Drosophila melanogaster: one gene and its partner. Changing the gene in region 1 together with any one later gene gives a genetic interaction. Each region holds a gene or a part of one and is shown on either strand. Other genes may lie near its edges.

Evidence for each region.
Region 2: of peb (region 1) and ush, changing one enhances a phenotype caused by changing the other (phenotypic enhancement), as found in Drosophila melanogaster (one study listed by BioGRID).

What each region holds. Positions count from the first base shown.
Region 1 is NC_004354.4:4,615,822-4,620,590, forward strand, and holds the start of peb (pebbled), read left to right. Parts: upstream 1-1,742; 5' UTR 1,743-2,242; intron 2,243-4,148; exon of another isoform or gene 4,149-4,153; 5' UTR 4,154-4,172; coding exon 4,173-4,769.
Region 2 is NT_033779.5:474,715-479,275, reverse strand, and holds the start of ush (u-shaped), read right to left. Parts: upstream 3,057-4,561; 5' UTR 2,945-3,056; intron 2,831-2,944; exon of another isoform or gene 2,290-2,830; coding exon of another isoform or gene 1,072-2,289; exon of another isoform or gene 1-1,071. Other genes in the region: cbt (cabut), read left to right, coding at 1,072-2,289; MED15 (mediator complex subunit 15), read right to left, coding at 3,474-4,043, 4,098-4,240, 4,511-4,561. UniProt on the Drosophila melanogaster protein: Transcription regulator that modulates expression mediated by transcription factors of the GATA family such as pnr and srp. Represses transcription of proneural achaete-scute complex (AS-C), which is usually activated by pnr.

The DNA of each region.
Region 1 (4,769 bases):
AAATTTGCATTCTTTTCGACACTGAATTCCGAAAATAAGATAATTATATATTAATAATATTAAGATCTCTGAAAAATTTGTATGATTACAACATAATTTTGTCACTTTTGAGTGAGCTATAGTTTTTAATCGCTGAACCACTGTGCGAATTTTTCAAGTTCATTATAAACAAAACGTAAATATTATTAAATTGTGTACAAACAGCGCGTTGCACGTGTCGCTGTGCCTTCTAGTGTGTGTGTATGTGTGTGTGTGCGTAGGGGCGCGTGTTTGTGTCTGTGTGTGTGAGTGGGCGAGTGTATTGAACTCTTGCTGCATTTTTTGCACAATTTCGCCGCCTTTTTTTCTGCTTTTGCTTGCGTTGTATTATTGTGCTCATTTATTTTTATTTTTACCTCTGTTGTTACAATTGTTTTGCATTATTTTTCTTTGAGTGGAGAATCGATCGAATGCATCGATTTTTGGATGAGATGCTGAAGGGTTGCTGGTCACCTAATTTACATACATACATATGTACATTCTTTCGGCAGCTGACACTATTTAAAATTGACCTCTCGACGGTACCTAAACACCTATGAGTATCGAAGAGCATGGAAAAAGAGCCTTTATATTTGGAGAACGCTATCCCCAAAGAATCGCAGAACTACGGGCAGCTACATGACATTTCTTTCGGTGCATTAATGTTAATTTCAATGCTGCTTGATTGCTGTATGACGCACCCTGAAAAGGTGAAAGGTGAAAAGAGGGACCGAAAAGAGACTCGATCGTCTCCGACTTCCGTTCTGGGCACAGCTAGAGGTTAAGGTTGAGAAACTGGCCAGGAAGTATCCGCTCGGGGGTTAATGGATACGGATACACGGATGGGGATGTTCACAGCTATGGATGAGCACATATGTATGTACATACATACATACATACATACATACATACATATGTATGGGCATATGTACACGAAGATCTGGATGTGCTCATCGCTAGATGAAGTGCGACAGAAAGGGCAACAAACATGGCCAGCGTGGCCAATGGCAACGGGATTTGCCCAAAAATCCAAAATGCATCCAGACATATGCATATGTGTATGTGGGTGCTACATACAGTGATCACTCGTATAGAAGGCAGAAAAAGTTGACAATTGGAGATTTGGTAGTCTGGCACATTTCTATCCTACATCCGTTGATTTTGTTTCATTTTTTAACAAGATTTCAGACTCATTTCCCGAAGTATTTATTTTGCCGATATTAATACTTTTTTCTAGTTATTGAAAAAAATGGTGACTTTGGTTTAAAGTCCTAGGTCAAACTGAAGTATTCCATAAATATTAAAAGAAGGAAATACTACACAAATAATGCATCTTCGATTAGATATACTTCTTCTACGCTCAGATCTAGTATCGTGCATCCCATTTCCAGTTGTCAAGTGTCCACTGTAATTTCCAATTCCAATGAAAGATGAGTACGGCCCTCTCGCTCTTCCACACACACACACACGCACCCAATGTGTAATCCTATTTGCGCCAAATAAAGAAAAAGAAGAAGACAAATTTGAAACGAAGAATGAGAAGGAAAGAAAATCCAAGCTGCGCTGCCTCCGTTGAAAAAAAAATGAGAAAAACCAGACTGCTTCTCTCTTCTCTCTTTTCTCTTTTCATTTCAAATTTTACGCTCTCGCTCTCGCGGACAGCGACGCCGCCGGCGGCAGCGCAGCGCAGCCGTTGTATTTATAAATACAACTTTATAAATACAACATCAGTCGATTTTCATCTGCCGAATCGGTTGCGCTGCGGCTGCGCTGAGAATAAGATACAAAACTCGTGCGCGGCGCTTCAAGAAACCAACTCAAAAGCAGACAAATCAAATAACTAACTTGTAGAAAATAAAAATATAATAAAACATAAACAGAATTTCTCAATTCTAAGCCTACAAAGAAATATCAAACGCAAACTGCATATTTTTTTCACGTTTTTTTTTTAAACGACAAACCATTGGGAATTTTTGGAATACTAAGCTTTAAGGCCAAAGAAGTGTGAAAAATATTAAGTGAACCAAAAAATAAGTGCTATCTGAATTAAGTTATCTGACAAGAATTAAAAAAAAAACCTACACACTAAACATAAAACACAAAACACCAAAAAGCCACCAAAAATCATTTTTCAACGGGAACCAAGCCTAAAACAGTGCGAAATCCGGAGTTGGAATGCCGTCGCAACTGTTGAACACAATTTCACAACTAAATATCCACTAAGGTAATTTTTTAACAGTGATTGTTTTGGATTTTTTTTTATGTTGTTTCTGTGATTTGTGCGTGAACAATTTGTTGTTGCTTTGGATAAATAATCGAGCGCAGAAAACATGGATTATCAAAAGGATGAAATTGGAAAAGTTATTGGGTCTTCAGCTAAGCTAACATTTTTGTGTTAAATTGTTAAGAACAAAAATTGTTGAATTTAAAATTAGCACAACCGTTTTAAAATAAAATTTAAAAGCTTAGTTTTCAAACACATTTGAAATGCAATTTTTAAATGCAATTGAAGTGCAGCAGTGTTTTAAAATCGACTTAGATATTAGAAATATTATTTAAAAAAGATGAAGTAATGAAAATATATATGCCAGTTTAATTCTTCCGTAAATCGTTAAAATAATTTAATGATCCAAATTCATTATATTCCGATTAAATCAAAAGGAAAATGTTTATATAAAATTATTTTCCTACGATCACAATGTTTGAAAACATTTCAATTCAAGTCCATTCCCAAAACCCCTCCCTTGGTGTTTTGGGTCAAGTTCTGCCTGCAATTAGCCGGGTCAAAAAATTACCCATGACCGATGCTAAAACCCTTGAACTTTGACACACCACGCACACACAGACAGTCCAGTCCGAAAAGCCAGAAATTTCCGTGGTCAGGGATGATGAGGCGACGTTTATAGGGTTTAATTCAGATTGATGATCTGTTTAATATCGCAGGGGTTGTGCTCCATGTCAAACGGTTCACTTCACTCGGCTTGATTCCGTTAGATGGCGATTAGAAATTTGTTTTTTCACTGACCAAGTTGTGTTCATTGATAATTCCCAAGGGTCATAAAGGTGTGAAAACCGCCCAACAATTCCCCGCCCCAAAAAGTATATATTCGGGAGGGAATCTTTATCTCAATGACTTTTCATGACTCATGGACAACGAAATTGAAATCAGCCAACCAAAATGAAAGGCCAAACCGAAAGCCAATGGACAACAAACAACTAACACACATTTACCGAAAAAATTATATGTGTATATGACTGGATGTATGCATGTGTGTATGTATATATAGCGAACAGTGGGCTCGTTATCGGTAGAAATTTTTGATCAGCCTCTGAGGTTTCAGAGTTTCTTTATTTTTGTTGCCTTTCGGGGGGAAGTTAGGATTTTCAAATCGATCCACTACCACCCAAAGAAACAACAACAACGACAACAACTGGGACACCGCTCATAGTCATAGCCTTGATAACGGTAAATGCTAATGAGTGTACCCACATTTTTCACCCACACACCGAAATTCTTGATAAGAGCAGCATTGCCAGATGTGTATTGAATTCAATTCTTCGCACCTTTCTGCGGATGCACTTGCAACAGTCGCCAATTCTTCTTATTCGCTCTTCACAGGAACTCGATTTCAAATAGCTTTTCCGCTTCTGTTTTTTCATCTTTCCGTTGCATTGTTTACTTGCCTGAATCAGCTGTTTACGTTACTCAAGATTTAGTTTAGTATTACGCGACAATCGAAGACTGGAGAATGCAGGGTGCCCCACTATCGATTTTCTGTTATTAATTGAACCCTACACCCAGTTTACAGAATGGAACGCTGTCAGTGTGGATATCATTTGTTTACGCGTGATTTCTTTCCATCTTCAGACTTTCATAAAGCTAGTAATTACATTTTTGAATCAGCGAGTGTTGCAAAACTTTGGTGGGGTTGGACAAAAAGTAATAAAAATACTTGCGATTATAAGTGTTTAGTATATTTGATACACTTCTTTTGTCTTCGAGTTATCTAATTAGTGTCAACACTTGTTCAAGTGCTTCGATTTTTCGATAGAGTTCTTATTACACGTGCTTTATCTATACCCATCTCTAAAAGTCCTTTCTTCTTTTTCTCTCGAATCTTCTAAATCAGCACAGTTAACTAGCCGTTGGAAAAATGCTCGCCGCACAGCAACAGCACAACAACAGCACAGTGGAATCGGAAATGGAGCGCCAGCGACGGGACTCCACCACATCGGAGTCCTCGCTGGAGCATCTGGATCTGGGACGTACGCCCAAAAAACTGGGCGGTAACAGTGGCTCTACACAGACCACATCCACGCCACATGAGCTGGCTACGGTGACATCTTCGCGCAAGCGCAAAATTCGCCATTTGCAATTGAATCACCATCAGCAGCAGCAGCATCACCAGCAGTCGGATCTGCTGAGTGATGAAGACGTGGCGGAGGCGGAGGCGGAGGAGGATGAGGACGAGGAGGATGGCGACCAGGTGGCCGCCTTGGGCTCAAGGAATCTGGGACGGCACAAGCAGCGTCGCAGTGGTGGCGCCACCACACAGGCATCCATTGTGATGGACTACAGCAGTGGCGATGCCAGTTCGCTGCGCAAGAAATTTCGTCTGAATCGCTCGGCGGCCAGTCTCTCGGAATCGGGATTCGTGGACGCCAGCAGCACCACTGGCCACAGTGGCTATCTGGGTAACAGTAGCAGCGCTACGAACACTACTGCGACCAGTGGTATTGGTGCTAGCGCA
Region 2 (4,561 bases), on another chromosome or scaffold:
CGCGTTTCTAAAAACAAAGTGCCTCGTCCCGCTCGCACTCGCACACAGCCATGCGATCACGCAGCCAACACGCTTTCACGTGAACACCGCATGCACAGCGAGTGATGTGTGAGTGCGAGCGAGAGGCCGCAGCTGAACATTGGACTTGGCACCACTAGGAAAAAACAACAGAAAAGCAAAAGAGAGAAGGTGAGTTGCCAATTGGCAACTGTAGGCGAGCGGTGGAGTGTGAGAGGAAAGAGAGGGCCTAGCCAAAAGCTAGGCAAACAGGCCAAGCCCCAACCCATAAAACCATGTCACATTTCTGGCTCGTTTTTTATCTGGCCAAGAAAGAAACAAACAAACACTGTCGCACATTAGAGCGCAACGTGCCGAGCCCATAAAAAGATTTCGACGTCTTCGCACGAGTCATAATACACCCCTCGCATTCGCCTTCCCCATGAAATCACCCACCTGAGGCACGTCATAATAATACTGGTGGTGTGGCTGCATTTTCCTTGCATGCTTTTAGGCGCAATTTTTAAATGGTTCTAGAATATGCGCCGAAAACGCAACAGTTGCTCATGTTTTCATCCTTAAAAATTAAGTAGTGAAATTTGAAAAGTCCATATTAAGAACAGTTTTTAAAATTTTAAGACATTTTTTGTTTCTGTCAGGAGCACATCAATTTAAAGACTTTTATGTGGTCATCAATACAGTATTCACCTTTAACATTTACATACGTCTATAATTTAAAGCACAGCTGGCAGCAACAGTTAATGAGTAATATTCTGTCACCCCAAACGGCCTTTAAAAGAGTTCAAAAACCGCCAAAAACAAAGTTCCCTTGGCCTTTCGAAGGAGCATTGAACCTGGGGTTGGGCGGGGTATTGCAGGGTGTGTGAAGGTTAACGGTGAACGGCCTTGTCAGCCGCCGGCGTAATTAGCGAATTGCGAGGAAAAGTTATTGTGGGTCAATGCTGGTCAGCGAAAAGTGAATGGGACTGTGAATGTGAATGCACTCCTCAGAACATAAACTCGACAATGTTAACGAACTCTGACTAACCCTGAACTTGTTCTTTCCTTTTCCAGGTCGCCAAGGACGAACAACAGGTGAACGAGAATCTGCTAAAGGCAAAGCTCAAGCTGGTGGCCCAAAAGAGTCAGAAAAATGGAGGGATTATTACACCAAATCCATCGGACACGGAAGACGAGGCTCCCGAAATAGCGGTTCCCAACAAGAAACCCCGTTTGGAACAACCTGCTATGAGCATGACACCGCCGCCGGATCAAAAGCTGGACGATGATCAGAAAGCGGAAAGGGTTAGCGTCATCATGCGGGTCAACAGTTCTGGCGCTGTCTCTTCTAGTAGCCAAGACGAGAACTCATCTAGTTCCACCTCCTGCTGTAGTTCCTCTTCCAACACAAACACAAGTACAAGTTCAGTACCACCCACTGTGGAGGACGACTATCCAGAGGCCAATGTGTGGCGCAATCTCAAGTTCAAAATGAACAGAAAGCGTGCTGCAGAAGTGGCACTACCCCCAGTACAAACACCCGAGACACCAGTTGCGAAGCTTGTAACGCCACCTGCTCCAGCGGAATGCATCAAGGAGGAGGAAATAAAACCTATTCTGACACCGATATATGTTAGCCCAGTAGCTTCGTCTGCCAGCCAACTTATCCTGCTCAGCACAGTGGCCGCCCAACAGAGCCCCACACCCGTACCCAAAACGCCAACAATGTCCGAGGAGAAACTAACAACCAGAATTACGGCCGCCCAGGCGGCGGCCACCAGAAGTCGCATCTACGAGTGCAGTTTTCCCGATTGCGGCAAGAATTACTTCAAAAGCAGTCATCTGAAGGCCCACCAGAGGGTTCACACCGGCGAGCGACCCTTTATCTGCAAGTGGGAGAACTGTGACAAACGATTCTCCCGTTCCGATGAGTTGTCCCGACACAAACGGACCCACACCGGTGAAAAGAAATTCCAGTGCAGCGTCTGCCAGAAGAAATTCATGAGAAGCGATCACCTGTCGAAGCACGTCAAACGGCACAACAAGGACAAGGCGAACGGAGTGAATCGACATGTCTCCCTGGCCAACAACAACACATCAGCTTCGGTAGCGGCTTCCCTCTGCGATGCCTCGCTCCATTTGCGAGCGATAGCACCGGCGGGCTCCAGCGCTAGTTCCTCGCCCATCAGTTCCGCCAGCTTGCAAGTCTACAGCGCCCAAGATCTGCTGAGGCTACAGCAGCAGGCCAGCAGTTTCACCTTCGGCGGAACCCTGCTTCAAGTGCAGCGATGAGAAGAGCAATGCGAGCAGCATCAGAACCAATCTCAGCCCCACAGTATCGCCAGCTAAACAGAGATGAATTCCCACCAAATTTCAAAACAAATTAACATCTGAGTCAAATTCGAAATGCCTTCTCGCTCTCATGTAGCTGGTGTAGACTTAAGCTTAGTTAGGAGCTAGATCTTGTCACCGTTTTGTGCATATATCAACTTCAAATTCAATACGTAATACCCAAATCGGATAGATGCCACTTCTTTCCAGGAGCACACAGCACACTTCTTATCTAAGCGATCTTCTTCAGATTAATATTCTGAATATCCCTAGTGTTTGTACATACTATAAAGAGACGCATTCGGCGTCCAACATCTGTGATATTTAAGTTTTCTTAACTCTTTTCTATTGTACCATAGTTGTCAGTGTAATTCTCTTAAGCTAAAACACACACAATTGTATTTATTGCTAAATGTGAAAAAAAGAAAATGAAAACAAATAGAATAATGGATCATCGCACGATTCCAATCTCAACAAATGAAAATATACATATTTTCCAAAGAAAACTAAAGTTATTCTATGAATTGGGAGGGAAGCGTAATTGGGCAGAAGTCTATTGCGGTGACTTAATTTTTTTTTAGAATGACAAGCCCTATTCCAAATTGTTTATGCTTACCTTTTTAAAAATCTCATCCGACTGAAACAATTTGCAAAGTATGTAGCCCCATTTTGGTATTGAACTAAGTCTTGAGTGTGGAATGTTTTTTGCTTGATGAGTGGATGAGTGTGTTGTGTATATAGAAGGATGTTTCAATGCGGTGCAGCTCAATATTCTTTGAAATAATTGGTTTTATTTTATTTTAGCTATAAAAGCCATTTGTCTTATATGTTAAAATGTATTTACCCAAAACAGAGGGGCATTTTGGGAATCTAAAATGAAATTAAAATTTTCAATATCCATTGATTTAAAATTAAACAAGATATAAACTTACTAAACTTTCCACACTTTTTGCCCAGCGTAAATAGAAAAAATGTTTATAGTTGATTAGGCCGGATAGTTAGGTAAAACTTCCAACAAATATAAAAATATATCTAGAACAAAACAGAAATTAGAAAGATTTTAAAATAAATAGTAATTTTTTTGCAGCGTACGCACTTTTAGCTTAAGATTTAATGTTATAGTTGAATTTAACCAAATAGTTGGGCTAAACTCCCAGCAAAGTGGAAAGTTCACAGACTGCTCTGGGTTTCGATTGCGGGGAACACGCCTGTCGCACGGCCATCTCCCAGGTGTCCAACAAATGTGAGAGCGAGTAGTTCTTGGGCAACTTCGAGATGCGGGCAATGAGAGCTTGTTGCACCGTCTGCAGGAAGGGGGTGGCTGAATACTCCTGTTCCGCCAAGGAGCAGTCCGGAGCCTGCCACGGATATTCCTCCGGCACACTCACACTTACGGGCGGAACACTAGGCAACCTTTTGTCATCCAGGCAACAAATCAAGCGAATGGCCTTGTTGTTGATCTGTGACGTGGTGTCCAATTTCACTTTAAACTTGGTATCGAGCCTAGCAATTTCCCCTTGAAGCACATGTGGCACTTCCTGCTCAAAAGACGTGGACTTTTCTTCCACCCGAGGTCGCTTTGCGGGCACTGGAGCTGTTATATCCGTACCAAAGAGCAGCTCCAAAGTGGGTCGGAATGTGCGATACAATGTGTGATTTGCTACAGGACTTTGCAGCGTTGTATTTATAACCTCCAGCAATGGATTTGAGGATTTCTAGGTATAACGAAGAATATAATAAATTGGCCCGTTGGATGTAGATATACTTACACCAAACTGCTGGCCGGAATAGGAGATGAGATCCATCTTCTCAAGCGCTTTTTCACACTTAAGTAGAGTCTCCAGCGGCACGCGCTGTGTAGGATTGCAGAGAATCTCCAACAACTTGCTCATCTTTGTCATCTTCTCCACATCTATTAAAGAAGATATAATATTAGTTTTACGATAACATATACTTCGAGAATATAACTACTAGGAAATATATAAACCCGAGTAAGTTTGCATTAAACTTTTGTTTTTGGTTAGTTAGTCCTTGCATTTGGCCTCGCAAAAACGATTATATAATTCTTAAATTATATTATTTGACGCGGTTTATAGCATTTACAGCATTTCAGTAATCAGCAAACGATTTAAAAATGCAATAGCTGCGAAAAAAACGAAACGTGAGGGTATTATCTACTTACTGGTTCCGTCGTTACTGATCTTGGCAAGCATCCGCTTCAGTGGCTCAATGT